Linked DNA regions of Alligator mississippiensis. The protein of the gene in region 1 interacts with the protein of each later gene in a pairwise test. Links are inferred from orthologs where the notes say so. Each region holds a gene or a part of one and is shown in the gene's direction. Other genes may lie near its edges.

Region 1 (6,951 bases):
CAAAGGTAAGAAGGTGTAATAGGAGATGTCAAAAAGGTATGGTGGGCATGTATACCATGTAATACCATTATACAACTCCTGTTGTTAGTGATATACACATAGTATTGAAGAGGACTTTCAAACTAATTAATGTTTTGGAATGGGGGAAAAAACCTGTACTCCATCTATGAATGGATCAATGAACCCCAAGAATAGGATGTCAGGTAAAAGAAATAACTTATGTCGCCTGTTGTCCTTGCAGCTCCCCAAAATGGTTCCTGCATATAAGCAGTGGCTACTTTTTGTGGGTTTCTATTTATTTAATTAAAAAAAAAGTTCCAGAAGACATTCACTGTCAAATTATGGCTATAAGCATTTGTTTAAATGTTTGTTTATAGACAAATAAAATTGTGAAAGTACAGTATATAGGTTGCCAATGCCACTAATATTTTCATATCTGTATCTATCTTTCCTACAAAGAAACCACCTTATTTCTAAAGACACTTCATCCTGGATGAGAAGCTGGTCAAAGGAATCCATACATTTATCACCTCCAGGTGATAACTCAAAATATCAGGTGAATATGAAGGCAAGGAGAGGCTACAGGTGGTACGTAATGCCACATTATGTCTGCTTCCCCCAGCCCCCTCTGGATCCCAGTGAGCTTCTGATGCCAGTTTCTGGTCATGGTGCTAATTTCCAAAACAATTAATGGCTCAAGTCCCAGCTGCATCAAAGATCAAATTTCAGTTTCTCAGATACTGAGCCATACTCATCTGGGACACAGCAGCGTAGAAAATTTAGGACAAAGCATACAAGAGCTGGGGATAAAGCATTCACTGTCAAGGGAATCTTCGTACAGAACAGACTTCCAGAGATCAAGTGAGACCCGAGTCTGACCAGCATTGGGAAATTTTGCAAAATTTTCCTCTTCATGAAGCTTGTCACTTGCAGGGTTAGCTGTGCACCTTCTGGTTCCTTTCTGGTTCCTCTCAGTTTATCCCTTATGCCTCACTGAGTGCAGGTTTCATACTTTTACCTCTCCTGCAGTGGTATTCTACAGTTCTCCCGTTCTTAAACTGGGCCTCTTGCTACAGATTTTCTCTCGACCATGCATATCCAACATGGTTTGGTATAGTTCAACCAACTGGGTTTAGCACCTGGAGCTTTTTTCTTCCATGAGCCCATGACAAGTGGCGAATACAGTGACTACACTGGCCTTCTTAAACCAAAACAATTTAATCCTAACAATAGGAATAAAGCATTTAAGAAAATTATTATAAAACAATAGTCACTTGCTCTTTCTTGTATCTAGAGTCCTATCATCTTGTGATGTGGGGCCAGGCAGGCCTAATTTTTTTAGGTTCCCTAGCAGATCTTGTTAGTTAGCCTGAACTGCTCAGTAGCAACCCACTGACCTCTGGAAAGAAAGGTAGGAGGCAGGATAGATTCACACCTTAAAAACTAAATACCAGTAAATCACTCAGGTATGCATAGGCTTTCATAAGCATCACCTTATTTTATCAGAAGCTATGGAAGGACTCGTATCCAGATCCGAGCATTGAACCCACATGGCAAAACAATATTTTTAACTTAGCTGGAAATGTGAGGAAACATCTTTAGAGCTATTAGGTCAAACATTGTCTTAACCACCCTGGGATGCTACATGGGTGCAGCAGGGTAGACGGGGTGGCTTATCTCCAGCCATGGTTTCACTTCCTGCTTTTATTTCTTACAACTTCCTATTAAACTAAACCAGCGGTGACCAAACTGCAGCTTGAGCTGCCTGTGGTTTCTAGGCGGTTTAAACGCAGCTCCTAAAGACAGAGTCAAAATAAAAATATTCTTTTTCTATCTGTCCAATTCTTTCTTTCTGGTTTTGCTTTTCTTCAGGTCTTGTTTATTGGTTATTCTAAGCAGTCATTTAACAGCACATATTTACGCTGGAACACTTTGCACAGATAGCTGACGGGTATGTACATCCTGAAAGTTTTGCACCTTGCAGCTCCCAGTCGTGTCAAGGTTTGTGGGTAGAAGAGTTAGGAAGTTGAGTCACCCCTGAATTAAACCAACATACCCATGCAGTAAACATCCCAATATCTAGGTCACATCAGACTTAATAATTATTGTATGTCATGGCATCGCCACATTATCACAAAGCCTTTCTGTTGTAAGTGATAATTGCATTTCAAACATATTTATTCCCAACCTGCCCATCCCCACCATAAAACCTACTGGCAGCAGAATTCCAGCAGGGAGAAGTGCTAGAGATCCCGTGAAGTCCCCTAAGGACTTTGTGGTTGCTACTGGTTTCAGATGGAAGGGACTGGGGAGACCAACCAGGCAAACTCCCGTTGCTCCAAAAAACAAATGTTTTCCCTCACCTGGGCCTGTAGCCTTGCATATTTAAGGTAAAATAAAGAGGAAAGATGAAATCTTTTATTCCACTAAAACTTATGTCATTAATAGTCGTGTTCTAAATTTGGGTTTTAAATATTCATGACCATTCATGGGATAGCCAGAAACATTTAACTGTATATTTTACTTTGCAAGGAAAAAAAAAAGTTGTTAACTACAGGGCTGGTCATACGGCGTGCCTTGAAGTTAATGGTAAATAAAGAAAGCTTGAAAGTTTGATTTACAAATATAAAAACAGCAGGAGAGGGATCCTGCTTATTTTCCCCATATGGGATGCACTTCTCGTCTGTCCTGAAACACCTTATGTGGGTCTCTGCATTAGACTGTTTTCTCTTAGGTTACCAATTGTGGGGCACTCGAGTAGACCAAATACTTTAACTGTCCTACCACGTAACCGTTCAAAGCTAAAATGGTGGTTAAAATATTGATTATATGATCACTCCTACCCTGGGAACCGCACCGGGAGATGCACGGCCGGTGCGGTGGCAATTTTACAAATGCCAGAGCGAAGGGATCAGGTCCTGACCTCATAATTGTTACTAACTCCATTTGGTCCAAGATTTTATACAAGAACGTCGATAACTCGAGAAATTGTGGCTGTCCCACGCATGGCGATGAATATTTATTCATGAATATTCAAAACCCAAATTTAGGACGTGAATATTAACGAACATACGTTTCAGTGGAATAAAAGATTTCATCTTTCCTTTTTCCTCTACTTTAAACACGCAAGGCAACAGGCCCAGGTGGGGGAAAACATTTTTATGTTTTTTTTGGAGACATGGTTGTCTCCCCAATTCTGTTTATATGAAATCAGCAGCAACAGCAAAGTCCTTAGCGGTAGGGTGGCCCTCGTGGAGGACAGTCCGGTTTTCTGCTACTCCGTCCTCTACGGATACAAAACCGGACGCTTTTACGTCCTGTTTTTCTTCGGAAGAAACCCAAATTTAGGACGCGAATATTAACGAACATAAGCGAAGAGAAAAATAGAGGACATAAGAGGCACTGGGTTTCGTATCCATTGAGGAAAACCAGACTGTCCTCTATGATGGCCACCCGGCCTAGAGGCCTTGGCGGCGTGGAAGGAGCCAGCCAGATTACTTGAACGTCTTGGACGCGTCGATCCAGCGAGGCGCTCGGGTCGGTCTGGCTGACGTGGGTCCAAGAAAAGACGTCGGATTTACCCCAAAGAACCGTCCCCGATGCTTTTCGAATGACATCGCCGTGGCCTTTGAAGGGCAGGACGCCTCGCCACCAAGAGGCTTTGCCCGCCCCAGGTTTTCCCTCATCCGGATGGCCACGAAGACAAGGAGATCATGGGAACCCCTTCGAGAGGCAGACACCTCACGAGGAAGGGGCTTTGTCCGCCTCCTCGCACACAACGAGAGGGCCGAGAGGGCGATGTGGTGGAACAACCCTCCTGTCTGGGGGGGAGGCCAGGCCGGGCCGGGCCCCGATGGCGCACGGAGCCGGCGGGGGGAGGGGGAGGGGGAGGGGCGGGGCGGGGCGGGTGACCGGGAAGCAGAAGCGCCGCCAACCGCCGGGCGGGCGGGCCGCACCTGGCCCCGCCGCTGCCCTCCCGGGGGCGGGGAACCGAGTCCCGGCCCCGGAGCGCAGCGGAGCCGCGCAGGCAGGGGCGGGCATGAGCGCCGGGCCCTGACCGGAGCGGAGCGGAGCGTCGCGCCGCCGCCGCCCGGGGCGGGGGAAGATGGGGAACTGCCTCAAGTCCCCCACGTCGGACGACATCTCCCTGCTGCACGAGTCGCAGTCGGACCGGGCCAGCTACGGCGACGGCGCCGAGCCGGACCAGGAGCCGCCGCCGCCATATCAGGTACCGGGGCCGCCGGCTGTGACTCGGCAAAAGCGGTCGGGCTGAGCGGGGCTGCGCCGGGCCGGGCCGGGCCGGGGGCGCGGGGAAACCTCCCGCCGCCGCCGCCGCCGCCTTTGTTGTCTGGGCGCGGACACGGGGGGGGTGGGACTGGCGCGGGCCCTTCAGGCGGCGCGAGCCCGGGGCTCCCCGGGGGGGTTTGCGCCCTGCTAAGGGCCGCAAGGACAGGCGAGCCCGCACCGGCTTTGCCCAGGCAGTGTGGGGGCCCCCCTCCCCCCGCGTGGGGTCGGCGCCTGCCAGCCCCCCTCACAAAGTCACCGACTGCCAACCGGCCAGAGCCGCGCGGGGTCGCCGACTTCAACCGGCGAACGCCGTTCAAAAAGTCACCGACTGCCAACCGGTGAGAGCCATGCAGGGTCACCGACTGTCAACCGGTGAGCACCGTTCAAAAAATCACCGATTGTCAACCGCCAAGAGCTGCACGGGGTTGCCAACTGTCAACCGGTGAGCACCATTGAAAAAGTCACCGATTGTCAACCAGCGAGAGCTATGCAGGGTTGCCGACTGTCAACCGGTGAGCACCGTTCAAAAAATCACCGATTGTCAACCGCCGAGAGCTGCACGGGGTTGCCAACTGTCAACCGGTGAGCACCATTGAAAAAGTCACCGATTGTCAACTAGCGAGAGCTATGCAGGGTCGCTGACTGTCAACCGGTGAACGCTGTTCAAAAAATCACCGATTGTCAACCGCCGAGAGCTGCACAGGGTTGCCAACTGTCAACCGGTGAACACCATTCAAAAAGTCACCGATTGTCAACTGGCGAGAGCCACGCGGGGTTGGCAACTGTCAACTGGTGAACGCCATTTAAAAAGTTGCCGACTGTCAACCGGTGAGAGCCGCTCAGGGTCGCCGATTGTAAAACAGAGCAGTTCAAAGCACCAATTATAAAACAGTAAAAGCCATTCAAAAAGTCGCCGGTTATAAAACGGTAAAAGTGGAAATGGCAAAGAGGGAAAGAGGTTTTTAAGACGCGGGCTGACAAAGCCTTGGCTGATGGGGTTGGCGATGGTCGTGCTCGGAGCAGGCGGTTGGACATGGGGTGACCTCCTTGAGGTCCTTTTGCAGCCTTATTTTCTAGGACTGTTCTCAGGAGAAATACATCATTGAAGTGGATGCGATGGCATGTTTTTTCACGGGGAAAAATAACTTCATTACATCTTCAAACTAATGGGTCGTTGGTTTTTTGTCTTCTTACACCAGGTTTGATATAACAGCATATCTCTCTGAGAAATCTACTGTGAGATGTGTTTGAGATGTCAGTCTTGAAGGGAGATCTGATAGCTCTTTATTTGATCAGATAGGAGTCATTCAGCAGTTGCAGAATCGGCATATAATTAACCAAATTGCAGGAAGTATTTAACGGGGTAGACCTGTCATCTGCAAATGCTTTATGAAGTCAAGAATGATAGATCGGATAGGATTTTTTTTTTCTTTTTGGTGCTCAAGAGCAGGAAGTGTAGTTGTCACTGATGGATGCAGTGAGACAACAGTGCTGTTACCTGGCAGGCAGGAGTTGTTTATATTTTCTACACATGCAAAAGATACTGAATAACTGTTTTAATATAAAATCCTCCTATGAGGAACTCTTCCTAGTTCTCAATTGCACCTACTCAAGTCCAGTGAATTTAAAGGAAGCACAATGACATTATTTAAAGGACAAATCACCCTAAACGAACCCTGCACCATCTGTTCGGATTAAGAATGCAAGAATTTTTTCTGTAAATCGACACGTAATATATGAACAAAATCTAGCGGTCTATCCTATGCATTACAAATACAACGTGCGTGTGTAATCTCCAGGCACTATTTTTTTTTTTTTAACAGCCTCTGAGCATTATTATGATTTCCTCTTCAGAATGGTCAAGAGTATATTATGTAAATGTTGCAGGCCTTTCCAGGTTGATTAGAGAAACAAACTCGTTTGCCATTCAAGCTTTCTGGGAGATTTTTTCTCCTTTCTAATGAACATGTTTTAGGAACCAGGAGGGGTAGGTAGGTAGGTTGGTTGGCTTTGCTGTCTATTCTTTTTTGTCAGTTATTTAAAAGTTCTCTTATTGAGTCCTGGCAGTGAGTTTATATCAAAGCCAGCTCACTTTATTAACTATATTCACAATTCTGCATATCGGCTGCTGTGTTCTCCTGTTTTGATATTCTTTGGTTACCTTTACATTTATATTTTAAAATTTCTATTCAAGTCAGGAGAGTGTAGGGGGGGAATGGTTACTTTAATGCACCATTACTTTTTTGGTATTTCTGAACTGTACGTTTGAAAGTCAGAGGCATGGCTCCTACAGCTGCAGCTGAGTCATAATACCTTAAGGAGAGAGTGTGTGTGTGTGTGTGTGTGTGTGTGTGTGTGTGTGTATTGCTACATACAGTAATACAATACACGCTGAAGGGGACTACATTTAAAATTGAGGGAATCACTTTTGAACGATCTGATCTTCCATGCATTTACATTCCCAATCACGAGTCTGAATTCGAATTGTCACTGAACAGCTCAATTTAAAATAGCTGCTTAACGCTATTGTAGTGAAATATAAGGAATTCCATACACTTAGTGCTGTTCTTTTTGTGGGGGGGAAAAATGTCACATTTGGGCTACAAAATTGCTTGAACAGTATCAGGTTCTATGATGTAAGAGTGGTGAGGGAAACTGGGAAGA
Region 2 (6,846 bases), on another chromosome or scaffold:
TGCTGTTCTATAATCTCCCACCGGTGGTCTGGTGGCAGCAGAAGTGTTAGCACAGATTGTCTGTCTGGCGCTCCCGCCACTACGTAGAATAGCTCTGGCGGTGGCAGCAATTCTAGATGACCTGGAACTGGTCTGGGTTAGCACTTCTACCAAGACTGTCATTGGAGACTTAAGATGTGCAAGGTAACCCAGGCTCCCATCACTGGACTTCAGTTTAGCAAGGAATGCAGTTGGCCATATACCAAATGCTGCCTCATTCAGATGGCCTATTCCATGGATGGCTGCCCAGTGTCTCCCAAGACTAGATAGCCTGCTATGCCTACAGGCATCTGGCACTGCCCTCTTATTCATCCATCTCTGCTTACAGTCATGTTGTAGGTAGGTATTTCCACCTTTACTACAGCCAGTTAAACTCCAGCTGCACCAAGTCGAACTCGGTTGAAAGAGGAAATTCATGTGCTCTTCCCTAAATGAGCTAGATTTTTTTTCACTCCATTTCCCTAATGGAAGTACGCATTCATTTGTTCCAACCCTTTCAAATGACAGGAGTTAGTAAATGATCACCAGAAGGCTTCTGCCTGTAATTTGCCAGTGCAGGCAGGTACAGTGATGTACCCATTCAGGGTTATCTTCCCTTACTATAAATGACAATTCAGTGGGTAAGGGGACCTCTCCTCCAACTCTTCCTTTCCAATCCCAAATGAATTACTCTGCCACCTGAACTACACCCTTTTATTGTAATTTGCTTGCCTGGCTGGTTTTCAGCTGTGTGCAAGTGTGACTTATATTAAACATTTTTCAGAGGATAAGTTAAGCCCTAGAGTGGAGTTCAGATGCTTGAAGTATTAGAGAGAAGATCCAGACTTCATGCACTGCTTTATCAGATATACATGATCAATGAAACAAGAAACCACAGCAATACTAGAAAGTCTGAAAGATAAATCTTAAAAAGGAAGGATTTGAATGAATAAAAGCCAAGCAGTGTGCTTTACTTTGCCTATTGCACCTGAACCTGTTATCTAACTTTACAGTCCAAGGTAACTATAAATTTATGGAGTCTTCCTTTCACTGCAGCCAGTAGTCTCCCTGGAAATCGCAGCGTATTTTCCTCCCTGTTCTGCCTGAATGACATCCTATATATAGAGAGAGATTCACAGAGTTGGCTCAGCAAACAGATTGTAACATCTACAGCTATTGTACCTCCAAGTGACAATCCACAGATGAAAATAAGCAGTGAGGAAAATCTGCTATTGGGAGACAAGGCATTAGAAACCAGCATAACATATGTTCTGGAAATCAAACAGCAAGAGTTTGGGGTTAGTCATAAATATCCTTGCCTTGCTTCTCATTCCTGAATATGCTTAAAGTGATAGAACCCTTGGAGTGAAAATGTCAGGCTGCCTGGTTCCCAGTTGAGGTATGAATTAATTAACAAATGCTTTTCCAGACTGTGGAAAGCACTACACACAGGGTTATCAGCTGTGGATTGAAGGGCTAGATAGTGACATTTCATACCATGCATGAAAGAATAGGCAAAGTTCAATAAAATCTGTGGTTTAAAATCCATAGATTCTCTTCCACGTGCAAGACTGGCTGCTTTGAAATCCAGTCTGAATATACTTACAAGAGGAAAACTTGAAACAATTGTGCCTGGCCACTTGGCTGTCCCTGTGGTTCAGACACCTTCACATGCATTTCTGCTTGCCTTGATTTACTTTTTGCTCCAAAAGAGGGGGAGCTTAGAAAGTGTGCTGTCTTAACTTATGTGAGGGGTGAGCCATGCCACTTCCATCTACCAAGCACAGATGATGATCTCAGCTTAAATAGAGTTAGGAGCAAAGCACAACCCAAGCGTACATTACCCTGCTTCCAGTTCAATAAATCAGCCAGGTTGGGGAACTAGGTCATCTCCTTGCCTGCAGAAAAGAAATGCTAACATTTGCGATGCTACCATTTGTGATTTAATAGTATTTACAGAGTCTGTCGGGCTGAGCTACTCTCATGTAGCCCCTCATCTGCTCGCAGTATGTACCTAAATAGCCAGGCGTTTCAGTCTCAGTGCGACTGGGAGCATCAAAATGAGCCTGGCCCAGTGAGTCTAACATTGAATCAAGTGATGGCATGGAGGTGGGATGAGACTAAAACCACTTCTTGAGGGTGGGGTTTTTGGTTGTAGCCACATTGGGCTAAGGACATAGGCAGGCAAGGGTTGGTTTTTTTTTTTAGTAGATGTGTATATATTATACAAGTAATAATTCCCCCCTCAAGAGAGAGGCAAGGTTTTTTGAGTAATGGGATATCTTTTATTAGACCTAATAGAAGATATCACAGCTGTGTACTCAGTTGGTCTAATAGAAGATATCATATCTACTCAAGAAACCTTGCCTACCTCTTGGGGGGTGAACTAGTATTTATATTATGCTGACTATACTGTAATTATCTGGGTGGGAGCCTGAGGTAGGACACAGGGCTCTTTGGAAAGGCCCTGTCCCATCTTCCTCAGCAAAGGGTGATGCTATTGGATCTGCCATTTATATGGGGTCTGATATTAGGAAGCCCTGGACCCTAACGAGGCCGATGGCGTGCAGAGATTCATAAGGGAGGCGAGGCACCGACCTGCACGTCCAGCCCCAGTACCTAAGCATAACAGATATTTTGGGGAGTGATGTAGCCCAGATGGTTTGGGAACGATGCGAGAGTAGACTTGCCGAATCGGTTTGAATCTATTCTGGGAGGTTTCTGGAGTGCCAGCACGCCCGTGACACGCAACGCAAATGTGCCCACCTGCTTGCATATAATAATTATGGATGGCAGGGCACAGACTTTACATGGGGAAGGTGAATTCACACGACTGTCGGACTTTAAAATCTACTGGACTGCTGCGTACCTCAGATTCAACCTCGTATACAGGTAGTCCTCAATGTACAAGGTTTCGAGTTGCAACATTTTGCACTTACGACGTTTATAAATTGACACCGTTTCAACTTTCTGACCTCAGTTTTGACTTCACAGCGCTTGATCAGATGTGATGCCGCACCAGCGAAGAAGTTTGCTGCATCGCCCATCTCCTTGGAGAACACCTGTCCCAGCTTCCTAGGGCACTTCCTTTAAAAAGGCAGCCGAGACTCCCGAGAAGACTCCAGCCGAGAGCCCTTCAAAAAGTCCAACAGACTCGCCTCAGAGAAGTCCTTCCAAATCAATGTGATTGCTATTTACAGTAGAAATACATTAATGTAGCTATAGTACTCATCTATAATTGATTGAGTACAAAAGGCTGGGATGTTTTTGGTGAAAATAAGGTACCGGGCCTTGATTCGGGAACCAATCCCCCATTTATAACATTGTTTCTTATGAGAAAATCAGTTCCGAGTTGCACCGTTTGGACTTAAGATGCTGTTTTCAGTAGCCAGGTGTGTCATAAGACCAGGGACTGCCTGTATAGATTTTACATCCAGAAGGTGTGTGCACACGACGGTCGTGTGTTAAAACCTGGACCGCTGCATACATCAGATTCAACCACAGGTATGCATTTTCATGCACGCCCTATCATTTGTCTCCTGGGGATCGCATCTAATGCCTGCAGCCTCCAGACCAGCCCTGGACGGTGTGCAGACACACCTAGCGGCTGCAGCCTCCTGCAGGCGCGGCCGCCCCGCGTGGGAGCCAAGGGCTTTCTTCAGGGGGCGCAGCTGTCTTCCCGCCGGCGCCTTCCGCTGGCGGCCCCGCCCCTAGGGTGTGGCACCGCCCCCCGCGCGCGCGGACCTCACCAACATGGTGGCGCGCCGGCGTCATGACGTGCGCGGCCTGGGGGCGGGGCGAGCGCGCTGTCCTGGGCCGGGCCGGGCCGGCGTCGAGCGGCGGCGGCGGCGGCTGGGCTGGGCCCGGATGGGGGCGGCGGCCGCGGGGCTGCGATGTCGACCCCGGGGACGCGTCGGAGCGGCTCCAGCATCAAGATCCGGCTGACAGGTAGCGGCAGCGGGGCTGACCGTTATTCCCCCCCCCCCCACCACCACCCCCTTGAGCAGGCCGGGCCTGGGGGGTCTACCCGTCCGCATCGCCGCAGGCCGCAACCTCCCCGCGGGCGGCTCCTGAGGGGGGCCGTGCTGCGGAGTGAACTTCCTCGGGGGCAGTGTCCGGGGGGGGGGGGTCCACGTCCTTTGCTTTCCCTGCCCACGCCGGCGAGGGTGCGTGGCTGGGGGGCGCGCCGGCTCCTCCACGCGAGGCAGCGATCCGCGCGGGGCGAGGCTCCCGGCTTGGCAAGGCAACAGGTGCCTCCTGGAGCATCGCCCTGCCCGGGGGCGCCGTGCCCGGGACGTGGGCGCCCGCGCTTCTCTGCCGGGCGTGTGAAAGGTGGCGGGTTTAATAACGAGTCGGTGGCGGGACTGCCACGCGCCGCACGCGCCTCTGGGCAAAACCCCCCATTCTTCCCGTGGGTTTGGTTGGTCTCGGGACACACCTTGCTTGCCCCGGAGAACTAACGAATGGATTTCTTTTTAAAAAAAAAAAAAAGTATTTTGTGGAGACGGGTTACTCATTTCTTCCCTTGCGAAGCGAGCGCGTGTCGCTTGCTGGGCGCCGGCGCGGTTCTCAACTGGGGCTGGACTCGATCGGCCGAGGTCCCTCCCGGCCCTAACATCGATATAGGTTCGCTCACATACCTGTCTCTGACACAGCAGTGTAGATTTTTTTTTACCGATCGAGAAGGAGCCAAGGGATTGGTGTGTAATGCACCCGCAATCCCCCTCCGAACACGGCAGCGACAGTAAATGGGACCAGAAGTTACTTGTTTTGCCCGTTCCGGTGAATGCTGCGTCAGATGGCTTGTCTCTTCATTTTTGCTTCGTGCCGGCATGAACTTACTTTCATAGTGAAAATCATTTTGTAGAGAGCCGACGGATGTAAGGGCTAGGATTGCTTCTGTGTCCTGTTTCTCGGTAGCAGTCTTTAAAATACATTGAGGAAATATCCGACCTGGTCAGCCACCTCTTTGTTTTTATTAACAGAAATCTCTAGTTGGTGAGTCAACACGTGCAGTATTTTGTCTGCAAAAGAATTGCTTCGAGAGAGAGTTTTCACTTCAGAAACATTAGTAAACGTTTCACTTCTGACTTCCTTGGAAATTTGCTTGTTGGCTGATCTGCTTCAAAGAACTGTAGCTAATATGCCTTTTGTTGTTAAATTCTGTTTTGGTTTTGAGAGATTTGAGCTGAATTATAGTAAACGCAGACCATCTTTTGTTATGATTGACCGCTTACATCACATTTCCTATGACTGAATTTGCAGTTTGTTTTCCCACAATTTTAAACAATCTCTGTTTTGCACTACTGAACATTGCTGTGTAAATACCACTAAGATTGAAGCTGCCTCCAAGAGCCACTCCATAAATGAGATGTGAACATTGGTGTACACTTTCAGTGTTTAAGAAAGTGAACTTTGCTTTGGCACTTTCTAAAAATATTTGCATTGGGGGGTATTTATCTTATCCTGTCCTAAATTCTAGCTGCTGTGACAACAATTAAGAACATAGCTGTAGTTTGGATAGAAGATTTTGGAAGCTACCATGACGCCTAACTATAACTTAAAAAAAAAAAAAAAAAAAAGTAAATCTCAAGTCCATTTTAAAACAAAAAACCTTAGCAGCAACAAATAAGAACCAGTCAGCAGAATAAAATGATCTCACCTCGTACTCGCTTCCTAGATGCTCTCATCTCCCGTCATATGCCAACTTTCCCCCCAAGCCCTGTGCAGATAAGGCTGCCATTGTCATTGCTTCTCGTAATAACCGCGGTGAAAATGCTAATGTAGATAAAGAATACAAAATTGTTATGAGCCCTGTTGTCTTCACTGCTTGGAGCAATTTTGCAATGGTGAAACTTTTTTTTTTTTTTTTAAGTTAGAAAAGTTTCCAACAGGGTTTGTCAGTTTGCGTTTGCAAGCTGTCTGTTCACAATGTCTTGGGGTCAACAGAGGGTTGCATTTGAAAGACCAGAAAACCCTCATATATGTGCAAATAGTGTCCAATCTAACTGATAGGATTCTACCCCTGACACCCTTGCTGTTGGCTAGCGTCACGTGGAGGTGGTCTGTCAGAGGGACGGATTCCAACACAGTATAACATTTTGTTCAAATTTCACAAGCACTTGGAGACCCCAGTGAAAACTGGGGTTTCACGGTGCCAGACAGTAGCAAATAAAGATGGTTTGCACGCGATTTGGGGTAGAGACTGGGATGATAAGACAGATGATGAAGAGTAGGGAAGAGGAAGGTGATGCATATTTTTCATGTGTATAGCTTTACTATTTTTTATGTTTTATAATGAAATTGCTTTTGCCTTTTTCTAACTGCTGCCCAGCCTAGCAGTAACAGTTGAGAAGGCGATTTAAAAATGGAGTAACAACAATCTTATGGGTCAGTTCGGAGGAAAAGGCTTTGTATATGAGAGCCACCATGGAAGAAAACGTAAAGAGCTTTGTGGGAAGAATGGGCAAGTTGGTAGTTAAGGCCACTTTAATTGGCCAAAGAAAGGGAGTTTAAGACAATACTAAAACTCAAAGAAATTAAGAGCCACAGAATTAGGAAGGGCCTTGAGAATTAAGCCTGTAACTTTTTTAAAAATTGATATGAGGGTAGCAGGAGAGATCAGAACAGTATAGTTTTAGTCTTGTACAGACTGAGAAGGTATAGACATTGGGAGTATAGGTAGGAATCCTTGCCATCCTGACATGAGGAAAAGGTTAGATTTAGAAACATTCTGGAGGAACAAGCCTTCAGATTTGGAGGAAACCTAGACTTATTAGATAAAAGGAATCAAAGACAATGCCTAGGCTATAGGACTAATTTTATAGA

Evidence for each region. The genes of interacting proteins can lie anywhere in the genome.
Region 2: the proteins of RNF11 (region 1) and SMURF1 interact in binary tests that used the Homo sapiens proteins (3 or more experiments, as listed by UniProt). The link is inferred for Alligator mississippiensis from reciprocal best matches to the Homo sapiens genes RNF11 and SMURF1.

Annotation. Positions count from the first base shown.
Region 1 is NC_081828.1:8,256,271-8,263,221, forward strand, and holds the start of RNF11 (RING finger protein 11), read left to right. Parts: upstream 1-3,932; 5' UTR 3,933-4,105; coding exon 4,106-4,228; intron 4,229-6,951. UniProt on the Homo sapiens protein: Essential component of a ubiquitin-editing protein complex, comprising also TNFAIP3, ITCH and TAX1BP1, that ensures the transient nature of inflammatory signaling pathways. Promotes the association of TNFAIP3 to RIPK1 after TNF stimulation.
Region 2 is NC_081836.1:53,529,022-53,535,867, reverse strand, and holds the start of SMURF1 (E3 ubiquitin-protein ligase SMURF1), read left to right. Parts: upstream 1-3,842; 5' UTR 3,843-3,911; coding exon 3,912-3,966; intron 3,967-6,846. UniProt on the Homo sapiens protein: E3 ubiquitin-protein ligase that acts as a negative regulator of BMP signaling pathway. Mediates ubiquitination and degradation of SMAD1 and SMAD5, 2 receptor-regulated SMADs specific for the BMP pathway.